3 linked regions of the Oryza sativa Japonica Group genome follow. The protein of the gene in region 2 binds, or shares a complex with, the protein of the main gene of each other region. Links are inferred from orthologs where the notes say so. Each region holds a gene or a part of one and is shown on either strand. Other genes may lie near its edges.

Region 1 (4,364 bases), on a different chromosome or scaffold from region 2:
GGAAAGTACATTTTACACAACATTCTAGCATCCCACATAAGTAATGCTGGTGGAATTGCAATGTAGTCTTATTTCTATTAGGTCTTATGAAAAAATGAAGGCAGAAAACAAAACTGGAAAGAACAAGATGAGTCAACAAGCAAAATACTAACCAATATCCATTGGTATAACATCTTCTATATTGTCATATGTGGTGCTTGTACTTCCTCGTGCATTGGGAATGGATGTCCCAGATAATCCACCTTGACCAGGGGATATAGTTCGTTCCAGTGCCGGAGGGGTGATATTCTTGGACACAAATGGTGAAGATTCCTCAGTCACATCCATGGGATCATTGTTTACCTCATCAATATCTGGCAAGTTAAGTTCAGGGCCCTCAAATGGTGCTTCACGCATTATTTCAGGTAAATCTGGTGCTTTATCTGCCTGATTTATGTTACTGGTGTTCACTGCCTCCGAGTTGTTGCCTTGGGAAGGATCTACGGAAATTTCCTCATCCATATTGTCACTTGGCCCAAAATCGATGTGAAATGGAGGCAATCTCCTGATAAGCAAAGCGGACATGAGTCCACCAAAATAGAAATTAGAAGGAAAAAAAACATGACACGTACTCTTCGTCAGTTGGTTCAGGTCCCATGTGTGAAGATTGTCCAGGAGCTGATAGCTCTACTCTAGCATCCTACACAATTTATAAGCACAAATATTAAAAAACATGCAAACTAAACAAGCCTGCAAAAAGCGCAAGTCAGTGAGGAATACCTCATCAAGATCAATCATCAGATAGTCTCCTTCTGCAGCACCAAAATGAAATCATTAAGCATCCGCATTGGAATGATAATAATACATATATTGACTAATTGAACTTCGTATACCAGCCAGGGTGATCTGGTCCAGACTCTTCCGATGATTATCTGGCGTACTGTCAGAAAGTTAACACAATAATATTAGTTGAGGTTGTATGACGCGGAGAAAATATATGAGAAGAAAAGTACTCACTCTATCAGACGAATTGCATCATCTAGGTTTATGTCATCAAGACGGAATGTATCAGGCAATGTGATGGTGTCAAAAGGCGCATGATCCGCATGAAGGGGCAGATCTACTTGTACAGAAGCGAAGGCGGTTCTGATTGTGCTTAGCATCCGGTTACAGTCATGGAAGAGGTAGTTTACCTTCCATGAATAAATGCGAACTAGACCTAGAAGAAGATGCCCTGACAACCTCAGAGCAATTGGAACTTCAGGGAACATGATAAATTCTGAAAAAATAAAACTCATGCATTAGAAGACATGGCATTAGGTTGCAGAGTAAAGCATAGGGAAAATTCAATGTATATGAGAAAATTGTTCAATACTTAACTAAGGAAAATATGTAACCTATTTTTCTCAAAAATGCGGGAGGACTGAACTTCATTTCTTTAAGAAGAAAATAGATAGAAAAAGAGGAGGTTAAACTGACAAACACACCCAAGAACACGCTCACGTGCACAACACCTAAGGGCGACACATGACCTCACTAAGCAAACACAAACTAATTGCCAAGGGTAAGCGACCTGCAGAAAAATGTGACCTATTCAGCATGCCATTATAATACAAGTTCTTGCAAAGCACAGTTCGAAGTTGAAATAAAAAAAATTGTCACACTTTCCTCCCAAAGAGAATAAAAAAAACTTCCCATAGAGTATAGACATCTATGCCCAAATATGCAATATTAATCCAGTTGTTTTACTTCCAGTCAAAAAACATGTTTTGTTCTAATAAAATTCCATCAGTAAGCTTCCTAAACATAAGGCTTATCTACTTTGTTCTTGAGTTTGCAAGGTTAAATATGTAAAGTTAATCACAGAATAAAGTAAAAACTGTTACATAATGTACTAAAAGAACAATGCAAGCACAACAAGCCAGTTTATTTGTCAATGTTCTATGATTTGACTGGATAACATATAAACTTATTTGTGTAATTCATATAAGTAGAACAAACATATATGAATTACTCTTCAAATAGAGTGGCTCAAGTAGGCAGTGTTCCACCGCAAGTGATTATACTGTACTGGGAGGTAAAAAATTGGGTTTGGTCGTTCTTTTTTTTTTCTTCCTTCTGGATATGCAAATGCTGTCATTCTTGAAATGTTTAGCATCCAAATAGGGCCTGCAAAAATCCACCCAAAAGTCTCCGGTGCACACCCCACCACAACCTCCCATAACTAAAAGACCAAATTTTGTTGTATCTTTTGTCATTAATGAATAATCATGCCACTAGAACAATCATTTACACGAAATTCTAACTGATAACCAGATAAATACTGCGAACCCCTAGCAAAATGCTCTAAAAAAAACTATCCAAACCTTCTTCCTTCCTGTCCCAAATTGCAGAATGCAGATTGGGATCCAAATCTCTGTACCATCACTTGACCCCATTGCTAACCCCAAAACATTTTTCACTCACAACTCCGGAACAAATCCCAGTTGCACGGAGGAACCAAAAAAAAAAAAAAGCTTATCCTTTCTACCCCCGCCGCCGCTGAAAGGCGCCGCCTTTCTACCCGCGCAGCAACAACAAAGGGGAAAAGAAAGAGCGCGTCTTTGGGAGAGAGGGGAGGGGAGGGCTTACCGGCGTAGGAGGGGATGTCGATGCCGTCGATCTGCGGCTTCTTGATCTTGCGCTCGAGGTGGGCGGCGATCCACACCGTGCCCAGTGGGCTCTTCCGCGCAAGGATCGTGTGCGAGTAGAACATCGCGGCGGCGTCGGCTGCCTCCTCCCTCCTCCGTCTCCTCGGGGTTGCTCCTGCGGCGGCGGCGGTGGCGGTGGTGGTGGCGGCGCACGGAGAGGGAGGGGAGGGGGATGAGATGAGATGAGATTTGGGGGGGGAAAAATAGAAGTTTTGGATGAGAAGGAGTTTTTGGGAAGGGGAGTGAAGCGGGAAGCCGCTTCGTATGTGGAGTCTTTTGGCGCGCGGATTTCGGGAGCAGCGGGCGGGGTGGTAGGGTGGCTGACAGGTGGGCCCTAGCAGGTGGTTGGTTTTGGAATGTGGGGGAGTTATTTTCGTGGATGTTTTGCTTGTAGAATACTAGAATTTGAGGCTTTTACATGCCGAACGAATTTGCTGCGGTTGTTTCCCCCCATTTTACCGCTGTGGCGTGCATCAAATTACCCTTTCTAGCTATCCCCGCAAAAGAGAAAAGGAAAAGTCTATACATACTACTCCCTCCATTTCACAATGTAAGACTTTCTAGCATTGCTCACATACATATAAATGTTAATGAATCTAAACACATATGTCTAGATCCATTAACATCTAAATGAATGTGGGTAATGCTAGAAAGCCTTACATTGTGAAACGGATGAAGTAAATTTTATCTTACTAACAGTCTAACACTATGTCTCATGCTGTGAGTATATCTAGAATTTCTATAACTTCCATCTATTTAAATTAGATGGTTGATATTATTGTTTGAGCAGCATTGCTGTAGAGAAAATTACTCTTTCTATTTTCTAATAAACTAGTACTATGATGATTTCGTTCGCCGGATCACACATAGTTCGATGTTTGATGACCGTTCATTTTGTTTTTGGACATTATAATTTATTATCCACACGGGATTTTAGTTTTTACCATTTTTCCCTAAAAAAATTAGTTAATCTCACCTCTAACGCCTAATGTCTTGTGCCTTTATATCTTTGTAGATCTAATAGCGTAGAAAAATCTTACCTGAACAGCAATAGAAGAGGAAAAATAAAAGCATGAGTCTTCATTCACAGTGAAACAAGATGCAATTTGTACCCTTCCGTCCAAAAGTCTTAAACATATTTTTCCTAACGAGATGTGCATATCTATAGCCTCCATGTAACCTAGATTTAAATGAAGATGTTGTCTTATTATTTTGTTCCAAAAGTTTTAAGCATATTTTTTTCTAATGAGATGTGCATATTTATAGCCTTCATGTATCCTAGACTTAAATAAAGATGTTGTCTTATTATTTTGTAGTGCTGAATTATTGGAACTCAAGCAATTATCTTAATACTCATTGGTTATATGCATACATAGGAGTAATCCTTAGTGTTTGTTATATGCAAGATGAGTTAATTTTTCATTAATCCCATTTAAAAAGTAATATGCCCTTAGGCTTTTGGATTGAGAGAGTACAAGTGAGATTGATTAGTTGCTCATAGGTTAGATTGATTTTTTTAAGGAAAAAAAAGGAGAAATTCGGTGTACATCCCATAGAGCTTCACCAACTTATGCCCAATATAGCTTCTAATGCCTAAATTTTATGTTTTTCATAAGAAAAAAAATTGACTTCTACAGTTCCCTAATTAACTTCCCATGAAATATCTTTTCAGTCCTAGTCGCTCTCCACTAGTAG
Region 2 (4,238 bases):
TAACCATGTCTTCCTTTTGTTTCGTATATTATCTGTTTGGGAAACTAAAGCCTTATTTTGGTCCAATGAACAGTCTTATAAGATGATGACATGCTCATACGCTGATCTAGACTCTGCCTGCATTATGCCAGTACGCGTGTAAGTATAGAGATTACTGTCTCAATGATGCTAAAAAAGATTATCTGTACCGAATTTCTGAATGAAGCTTCAATGCAGCACTATCCCAACTGAAATGATGAGTGTCATTAGTGAAGTCAACAGTCTACTATGCTTGAGTAGCATTGGGGGTGAACCTGAAAATCACAATGCTGAATCTGCTTGCTTTACACCAGTGAAGGAGTAAGTATATATGGTGTCACATTTCTCTCTTTACAGTGCGCATACTTTTCCTCTGTTGCCGATGACCTTTTTTTTTTTTCTGGAACAGTATTCTTCCACCTGAGATGGTGGATATGATGGCTGAAGTAAATGATCCTTCAGATAAAAGCACAAGGGGGAAAAAACCTCAAAGAGAATTGAATAGGGATGAGAATGGGAATTCTGCTTGCCACATCCCTTTGTCAGGGTAAGTAAATGTTACTTTTGTGGTTTTACCATATTATGATTTTAATGTCACATCAATTTTTTTTTACTTAAACATTTTTGTGAAAAAATAGTGCATTGATGCTGACCATATTTATTGGTACAGAAGTAAGGAAGTGCAAATACCTGAAAATATTGTGGAGAATGTGACTTTTCCAAGTCGTGATGCAAATTGTCCCACAATTGAAGAATCAGAAAATGGGTCACTGCATGGAACTAACACAAATCCATCATGTGATGGTTTTGAGGAACCCGGGTCTCTTGAACAACCAACTTTGCGCTGTAAGACAAAGCTAATCAATGAGCTGTCACCTTCCACTCCGGAGCCCATGACAGAGGGTGGCACAGGTTTAATTTTTGTGATAAAAATTCCTCTTCTATTTGTGGTCATTATTATGCTTAATTTGTGATGTGTGGGTTTCACTGATTTATTCAGGGCTACCCTGCTCTCCTAAATTTATGGTTACTACACCAGCTAAAAAGGAGAAGCACCGGGTGACTAGAAAACGAAGAAGGGGATTATACAATAAAGATTATATACCAACAGATAGAGGAGACAAACGGAAGGTTAGAAGAAGAGGAACATGGGTATTGTATGATGAAAATATTGTTCTACCAAATGAGTAAGTAGAGCTTCTAGCTTAGAAGCTCTTCCATCTGTTGCACTACCTATTCCTGTTTGATCTTTTAGGTATCCTAGGAGCTGGTTTGGCAAACTTAGGCTCATCTTATCAGCTTAAGCAGGGATTTGGGATTCTTTGATGAATCTAAGTTCTCAGCTTCTTCTTCTTCCTTTTTTTTTTTTGCTAAGATATTTAAGGCTCAAGGCAAGGTACTGTAAGTTATGAAGCCTATAGCCTCATAAAGAATTATAAGCTGAGAACCAAGATGCTTGGTTGGCTGGCCCTGAGGATGTTTGTGTTGTCCACTGGGATTCAAATCCTTAAAACATGTGCTCTCATTGGTTCTACCTGTTTGCAGTGGGAACCAGCGATCATGGCTGGGGTGCTAGCCTCTTGTTCCCGCACTTTATTTTTGTTTGGGGGCTTGGGTTAGGTGGTAGGCTGCAGTGCCATACTATTTTTTATGTGATCAATGATCATGTAGTATAAGTTGGAACATTAATTTTTCAATATGTGGTACTTCTCTATTTTTAATTGCTAATGCTTTGGATTTTTTTCCTCCTTAATGTAGAACATTGAGAAACACAATAGAGGATGCAAGTGATCTAGTGCAGCAGAGAAGGAAGGCACCTCATACTTGTCTTTATACCTGGAAGGAGGGCAAAATTCGTTCTCTGCCAGTTACTTTCATGGATCCATTGATTTTGTGTAAGTCTTCATCTATACTAGGTGCAATTAGTGATGGAAACCTCCATAATTAACTAAAGAGGGGCCATTTTATTTTCACAGATCCAACTTCGGTGTACGTTAGACACACTATTACAGCAGATACACCAGAAAATTCGTGCAGGGAGTCAGTAAAATCAAGAAGGCGACTTTCGTTGGAGCTTTCTGAATCCAACAATATCTGCGATGATGCTAAAAATGTAGAAGGTGAAAGCATTCCAGATGAACCAAGAAAGAGAAAATTGGATGAATTGACAGATAGTGTACAGGCAACTGTTGGGTGTTACACTGAAAGTGCACAGTATCACAATGATGAAGACTATAGATTTAATGACGATACAGTCAAAGAAAAGGATTTCTCAATTGGAGGACATGAATCTCATTCAACAGAACTGCAAGAAAGATTGAATGCATTGAAAAGTAAAAATCCACAGCTCGACGAGGCATTGGATGCTGATATAGATAGTATGGAAGAGGTAACACTGTCTACATTAAACTCTTTTATAAAATTCTTTTGAAAATATCTGGTTTTGTGTGCAAAATGCCATGCAAACAATTCATTTGTTAATGTATATTTTATGCAAATGAATCATTTGAAAATTGCATCTGGCAGGATACTCATATGGATGAACAACATGCTAGAGATGAAGGTACTCTTTTACACCCTATACTAGTTTTTATTTTTCCTGTACATTAGATCTTTGTTTTTGCCAAGTTCTACTGACATTGTTATTTTGCACAGGTTTGCTGCGTTCAACAAGAACAAGGTGGCTAATGAACTTGTCCTGTTTCTTTTCATTTCTTTTCTTCATGTTGTCGTTAACCTATAACATTCTCTAAATGCACTAATTCAGGACTGTAGCAAGGTACTTCCATCAACTACTCGTGGACCAGAAGTGCCAACAACGGAACAATTCTGTATGCCTTGGTCAAGCACTCGAAGGAACGAAAAGAAAAACTTCAGCAAGATTCTTCTATGAAACTCTGGTACATTTTCTGTACTTATTTCTTGGACACAGTATCTGCATGAGTTTTAGTTGCTTTTTCACTGGAGAATGACTGGTCTTGAGGATCCCATCTTGTGTATTACTGATCTATTTCAGTTCTACGCAAGAACAATCTTCCTTGTGATAAAATTAATATGTGCATTTTTTAGTGCAATTCATGTGCTTTACTTGGGAAATATGCAAGCACTTCTTTGGTTCCATTTCCGTTCTGTTTATCAAAACTCAAAAGTTGTTTGTTTGTTTCATATTTTCAACTCCTATAAGTATAACAGAGGCCCTATGATCCTTACAGCAATTTGTATTGTTTATATCGTCGTTTGCTCTCTTCTGCAGATCCTGAAGAGTGGTAGTCTCATAGAAGTCAATCAAGAGCAGACTTATGGGGACATCATAGTCTCAGCGACTCCGCGGCTCGAGGCGGCATTGCGGAGTAGTGAGAAGCAATGACTTAATTTGACGCAACATGTTCATTGGTAGTTTTCGGGAAAAAGAGATCCCAGCTTCCCAGGAGCGTTTCACCTTGTTTTATCTTCTGTAGCATGTTTATGATGGTCAGTCAGATGTATATACTTAGTTGGGCGCATGTAGCGCTAGATGGTTAGGAACATGTAGAGATGTTAGTTGTTTCCCCCTTTTTTTTCCCCTTTAGATGGATAGCTTAGTTATTTATAATAACTTTAACAGTTGTAAATTGCAGTTTCCTATCAGTGTTAGATCCCGTGTTCTTTTCAGAGTTTTTGATCGTGCGTGTTTGGTTCAGTTGTATATGTGAGTTTGCCAGGATGTTGTCTAATCTGGAAATGATGCAGCTGGGAACAGTTTGGAAGCTATGATGGGAACAGCGAGCCATGGTGATTTGAAGGTACTGTAGTTGGGCTCAGTTGGAATGTATCATTTTGGTGTATTTAACTAAGTCTTAATAAAGCTTTCATTATCTTAAAAAAAAGATACTGTAGTCAAAGCAGTAGCAAAGCCTCTTGAAGGAGCTGATGAGTCCCACACAGTCGCCGTCGTTCTTCGAGCTTCTCGCTGTTCCATTGTGAACTTGAGAAGCTTATGCTTTTCTTGATTTTTTTTAATTCTTCTTTCTTTTTATTTGTTAAGTAGATGCAATTCTATTTGTCGAAGAGCGGTTGAATCTACATACTGCTGAATGTCCAGTTTTAGCTGAATCAACAAATTCAGGATTAGCTGAATTCACAGTTGAGGTATAGATGAATCTAGGTGATCCAAGAGCGGAGCAGCTGAGCCGTGCTCGGTGCTCCACAGTTCTTTGTACAGCAAAGGCATGCACGGAAAA
Region 3 (4,229 bases), on a different chromosome or scaffold from region 2:
CCTGTGCTTACACAATGTACTACGGCCTAGCCATGATGTAGATGATGCAGCACAAGACCTTTTAATTAATTAATCGATCGACAAGCGATCCATGCATGCATGGGAGTAATTTACAGGCTTCGAGAGTTCATACACTGTTGCATTGCGACTTGCGAAAAACATAGTGCTACACTGAGAATTAATGATGGCCATCCGCAGCTAAGTGATGATCTGTGAGCAATTAGCAATTACCGGTTACTGACGAGAGGTGAGTAGGTAAAGGCATTATTAGCAAGAACTGCATTGGAACAAAGTTCATTCCGGTTGTCAAAACTCAAAACCCCAGCGAGCTGAGGCGTGAGAGCAACATCGCCAGCTGTCGCCGTCGCGTCGCGGGGGGGGGGGGGGGGGAGGGGGGCTACGTGCTGGCGCGGGATTAGATCCATGAATCCATCCGTGCCGCCCACGCCGTCAAACAGCCACGCGCGCGTGGGGTCAGAAACGCGCGCGGCTGCACGGCTGCGCCGAGAGGTGGAGCTCGCCGCTGCCGGCGGCTGTGGCGTTGCCGGCCGCCACCGCCGGACCTCCCCGTGACCCCGTGAGCCATGGTGCCTAGAGGCTGGAGAGGAGAGGAGAGAGATGGAGAGAGGGGAGATGGAGAGGGAGGAAGAAGATGAGGAGGTGAGTATGACACGTGGGGTCCACGTGGGTTCCACTATTTTTTATAATTATTTTATGTGTGAAAATGACATATGGGTCCCACAGACTTTATTATTTTTCCGAATCGAATTGCCACGTAAGCGCCACGTCAGTGCCATGTCAGATGAAGACCGAGTTAAATTAGCCACGTAGGCGCCACGTCAGCCAAAACCGCTATCAAAACCGCCGAGCGACCTCGTTTGCCCGGTTTTCGTAAGTTGAGGGACAGGTCATATCCGGTTTTGCGGTCAAGGGACAAAAATCGGATTAGGCGACAAATAGAGGGACCCAAAGTGAACTTATTCCTTGGGGAAAAAGAGAAGAGAAAGAAGTGAGCACTGATATGTGGGCTCACATATTTTTCTTCTCACTTACATGTGGACTCCTCATGTTTTTTTAATATTTCTTGCTGACTAGGATGTCACGTGAGCGAAACAAGTCTTTCATACTATCATGGTATTTGATTTGGACGGTTTTGACAGGATGAAGGGTAAAAGGATTTTGGTATTGTGTTTTAGGAATGCCAATTAAACTCGAGTGAAGACGGGGTACGGTTAATGGACTTATTCGGGGAGACAATAGTGAAAAATTATTTTGGCCCCGGAAGGCCTTGGCCCATGAGTGGCTCCGGCGCGGTGGATTACCGAGACTACCCTTTACGCGCAAAACATTTCACCGATCTGCCCCCCTGATGTCTTTCTTCCCCCACAAACCTCCCTCCCTTCTTCCTCTCTCCGAGGTCTGAACTCCCACCCCACGCAACCATCGCAAAAACCCCACTCCACCTCTCACCTGCTCTCTCCGCCGCCGCAGCGGCGCAGCGCCTCCACTCTCACTCGCTCATCCATTCCCTCCCTCCTCACGATCGAGAATGTTCTACTCGCACCAGCTCCTCGCGCGGAAGGCTCCGCTCGGCCAGATATGGTGGGTTTGCTTCGCTCTCCGCTCCTCTCGATCGCGTCCTTTCGGCTTCTCTTCTCATGCGCCGTTCTGCGGTGCTCCGTTCTATATTGTTTTCTGCGATTTCTCTGCTCGTTCCGCTCCGAAATCCGAATGTTCGCCACTTGGTTGGAGTTGATTAGGCCGCTGATTACTCCGCTTTTTTTTTTCGCAGGATGGCGGCGACGCTTCACTCGAAGATCAACCGGAAGCGGCTTGACAAGCTCGACATCATCAAAATCTGGTGAGCGAATTAGTCCGAATCCAGTTGTCTCTGATTTCTTCGTTTCGAACTTGACGGTTTTTTTTGGGGGGATTTTGTGCGTGTGGTTTTTGGGTTAGTGAGGAGATTTTGAACCCGTCGGTACCCATGGCACTAAGGCTCTCCGGAATTCTCATGGGTGAGTCCAGTTTGCTTGTTGTCTCCATAGTTCCGATCGCATTTGTTTGGTGATATTTTCTGATGTGGGTGCTTGCGTCGTGGGAGTGTGAGTAGGTGGTGTGGCGATCGTGTACGAGAGGAAGGTGAAGGCTCTGTATGGTGAGTTGCTCCCTGATTGCTTCTCTTTTGTTTCCATTTTTTTTGGATTCGTTATAGACTCAAACTGTGTGAGATCTTCTTCGCAGATGATGTGTCTCGGTTTCTGGTAAAATTCGAGTTCGATTTTCACCTAATTTTGGTGCCTCCTCCTTGATCCATTTGCCTGTCTATGCTAACATGGTTCAGATTACGCTTGTACTAACTCCTCACACAGATTGAGATCAACGAGGCATGGCGGGTCAAGCCAGTCGCAGACCCCACCGTACTTCCCAAGGGCAAAACCCAAGCCAAGTAAGTGCCCTCTTTGTTTCCATGACCTTCTAGGACTAGAAGTTTCTAGATGTTCTGTGCACGGTTTTGGGTTCGAGGGAAGATTGAAGAACATGCTATTATGTTGGTGACCGAGGGGAGTTTGCTTTTGTTTCCCTGCTGCCAGGGATTGTGAGTTTGTGTGTGATTTTCACCATCCGATGCTAATCTGATGGACTCGTCATTTGACACAGTTGCAAGTTTTGATATGTCATCAGCTTACTTGGTTCTGATTAGAACATGCTGCATCTGTGTAATGTTGATTTTATGATGATACTATCTCCTTGCAGCATAGTACATTGTTATGTTTTCAGATGTACCTGATGTTGTCATATGACTGATTGTTCTGTTCTACCTGTTGTCTATTGGCGGTTCATGGGACCCTGCTGTTACTTGCCTCTTGTTGTCTTGCTGACTTTGGTAGCAGCCGATGTCTGTATTATGCAGGAGTACTATTCTACAAATGATCTGTGTTTCCTGGCAGCATAAATTTGTCTGTATGTTGTTCCAGTATATGTAGGTCCTCTACATTTGTAGGGTGATGAAGGGCTTTTGCTTCCCCACAGTGTTTCCTCCTCTCTTAATGAAATGATATACAACTCTCTTGCATATTCAAGAAAAAAAAACTGGAAGGGCATTAGGCAGTTAGGCAGGCATTGTCAGTGAGCGATACATGCTTTATGGGGATGAACATTTGACTTTTTCTTGGGTGTCAGTTACTGGTGCCAAGGGAGCAGGTCTGAGGGCCGTCTGGTACTTGAGAAATGTTGCTATCTTAGAGTCTAGGGAATTCCATCACCTTTGGGAACCGGAGGCAAACATTTCTTAATCTTGTATCATGCTCGAAGGACTGACTCTTGTGGGTGTACCATTTCCTTCCATTGTGGCCTGCATCTGATATGTAACCATGTGGCTGTGCCATCATCCCCTTGATCCCTTCGGAACTATGTTCGATAGTTACTGCAATGTTCACGTGATGTTGATACCTGTACTGTTGCAATGAGTTTAACCCTCTTGGAGTCCTGGATAGTTCCTCTGAATGATTGTATCCCAAGGGTCTTTTCAACTTACTTTTGTAAATAGCATAGAGTGGGTATAAGTTGGTGGATGGAGAATGATATTTTGTACCAAGAGTAAAACAGTAATGGTTTGCTCATCTAAACTTGGGGCTTCATGCAGGTATGAAGCAGTAACACTGCCAGAGAATATCATGGATATGGATGTGGAGCAGCCCATGCTTTTCTCAGAGGCTGATACTACAAGGTTCCGGGGAATGGTAATCCCTGTAATATGTATATTTCGGTGGTGTCTGATTGTATGCATTGAAAGATGGCATTAAGTTATGAGCAATAACCACGAGATAGTCTTGCTTTCAGTCTCCTGACTTTTGCCAGATTGTCTCTATTCCTCTGAAATCCGTCATGCATGTGCAGCGTTTGGAGGATTTGGATGACCAATACATTAATGTCAACCTAGACGATGATGACTTCTCGCGCGCTGAGAATCATCACCAAGGTTTTCATTTCTTTTCTTATGAATTACTCTTTGTGGTTGCTTAAGAGGTGTACTTTCTGACTGAAATATGTTATCTCAGCTGATGCAGAAAATATCACCCTGGCTGATAATTTCGGGTCTGGGCTTGGAGAGACTGATGTGTTCAATCGTTTTGAGAGGTGAAGCAAAATTTTATTCTTCTCTTATTCTACCATTCATTTTTTGCACTTCTTGTTCCTTATTTTGGCCAGTACAATTATTCATTGAG

The links.
Region 1: sister chromatid cohesion 1 protein 2 (region 2) and sister chromatid cohesion 1 protein 3 share a complex: the UniProt entries of both Arabidopsis thaliana proteins name them as parts of the cohesin complex. The link is inferred for Oryza sativa Japonica Group from reciprocal best matches to the Arabidopsis thaliana genes SYN2 and SYN3.
Region 3: sister chromatid cohesion 1 protein 2 (region 2) and sister chromatid cohesion 1 protein 1 share a complex: the UniProt entries of both Arabidopsis thaliana proteins name them as parts of the cohesin complex. The link is inferred for Oryza sativa Japonica Group from reciprocal best matches to the Arabidopsis thaliana genes SYN2 and SYN1.

What each region holds. Positions count from the first base shown.
Region 1 is NC_089042.1:10,215,938-10,220,301, reverse strand, and holds the start of sister chromatid cohesion 1 protein 3, read right to left. Parts: upstream 2,905-4,364; 5' UTR 2,735-2,904; coding exon 2,611-2,734; intron 1,259-2,610; coding exon 997-1,258; intron 920-996; coding exon 873-919; intron 792-872; coding exon 760-791; intron 680-759; coding exon 612-679; intron 545-611; coding exon 153-544; intron 1-152. UniProt on the Arabidopsis thaliana protein: May be involved in sister chromatid cohesion during mitosis.
Region 2 is NC_089038.1:24,879,458-24,883,695, forward strand, and holds the end of sister chromatid cohesion 1 protein 2, read left to right. Parts: intron 1-73; coding exon 74-138; intron 139-216; coding exon 217-339; intron 340-427; coding exon 428-565; intron 566-688; coding exon 689-930; intron 931-1,018; coding exon 1,019-1,205; intron 1,206-1,776; coding exon 1,777-1,913; intron 1,914-1,994; coding exon 1,995-2,407; intron 2,408-2,544; coding exon 2,545-2,581; intron 2,582-2,673; coding exon 2,674-2,698; intron 2,699-2,785; coding exon 2,786-2,918; intron 2,919-3,271; coding exon 3,272-3,385; 3' UTR 3,386-3,669; downstream 3,670-4,238. UniProt on the Arabidopsis thaliana protein: May be involved in sister chromatid cohesion during mitosis.
Region 3 is NC_089039.1:29,073,602-29,077,830, forward strand, and holds the start of sister chromatid cohesion 1 protein 1, read left to right. Parts: upstream 1-1,414; 5' UTR 1,415-1,549; coding exon 1,550-1,602; intron 1,603-1,792; coding exon 1,793-1,861; intron 1,862-1,959; coding exon 1,960-2,018; intron 2,019-2,113; coding exon 2,114-2,158; intron 2,159-2,244; coding exon 2,245-2,264; intron 2,265-2,372; coding exon 2,373-2,449; intron 2,450-3,646; coding exon 3,647-3,743; intron 3,744-3,900; coding exon 3,901-3,982; intron 3,983-4,061; coding exon 4,062-4,140; intron 4,141-4,229. UniProt on the Arabidopsis thaliana protein: Involved in chromosome condensation, pairing and segregation during meiosis. Responsible for cohesion between replicated sister chromatids.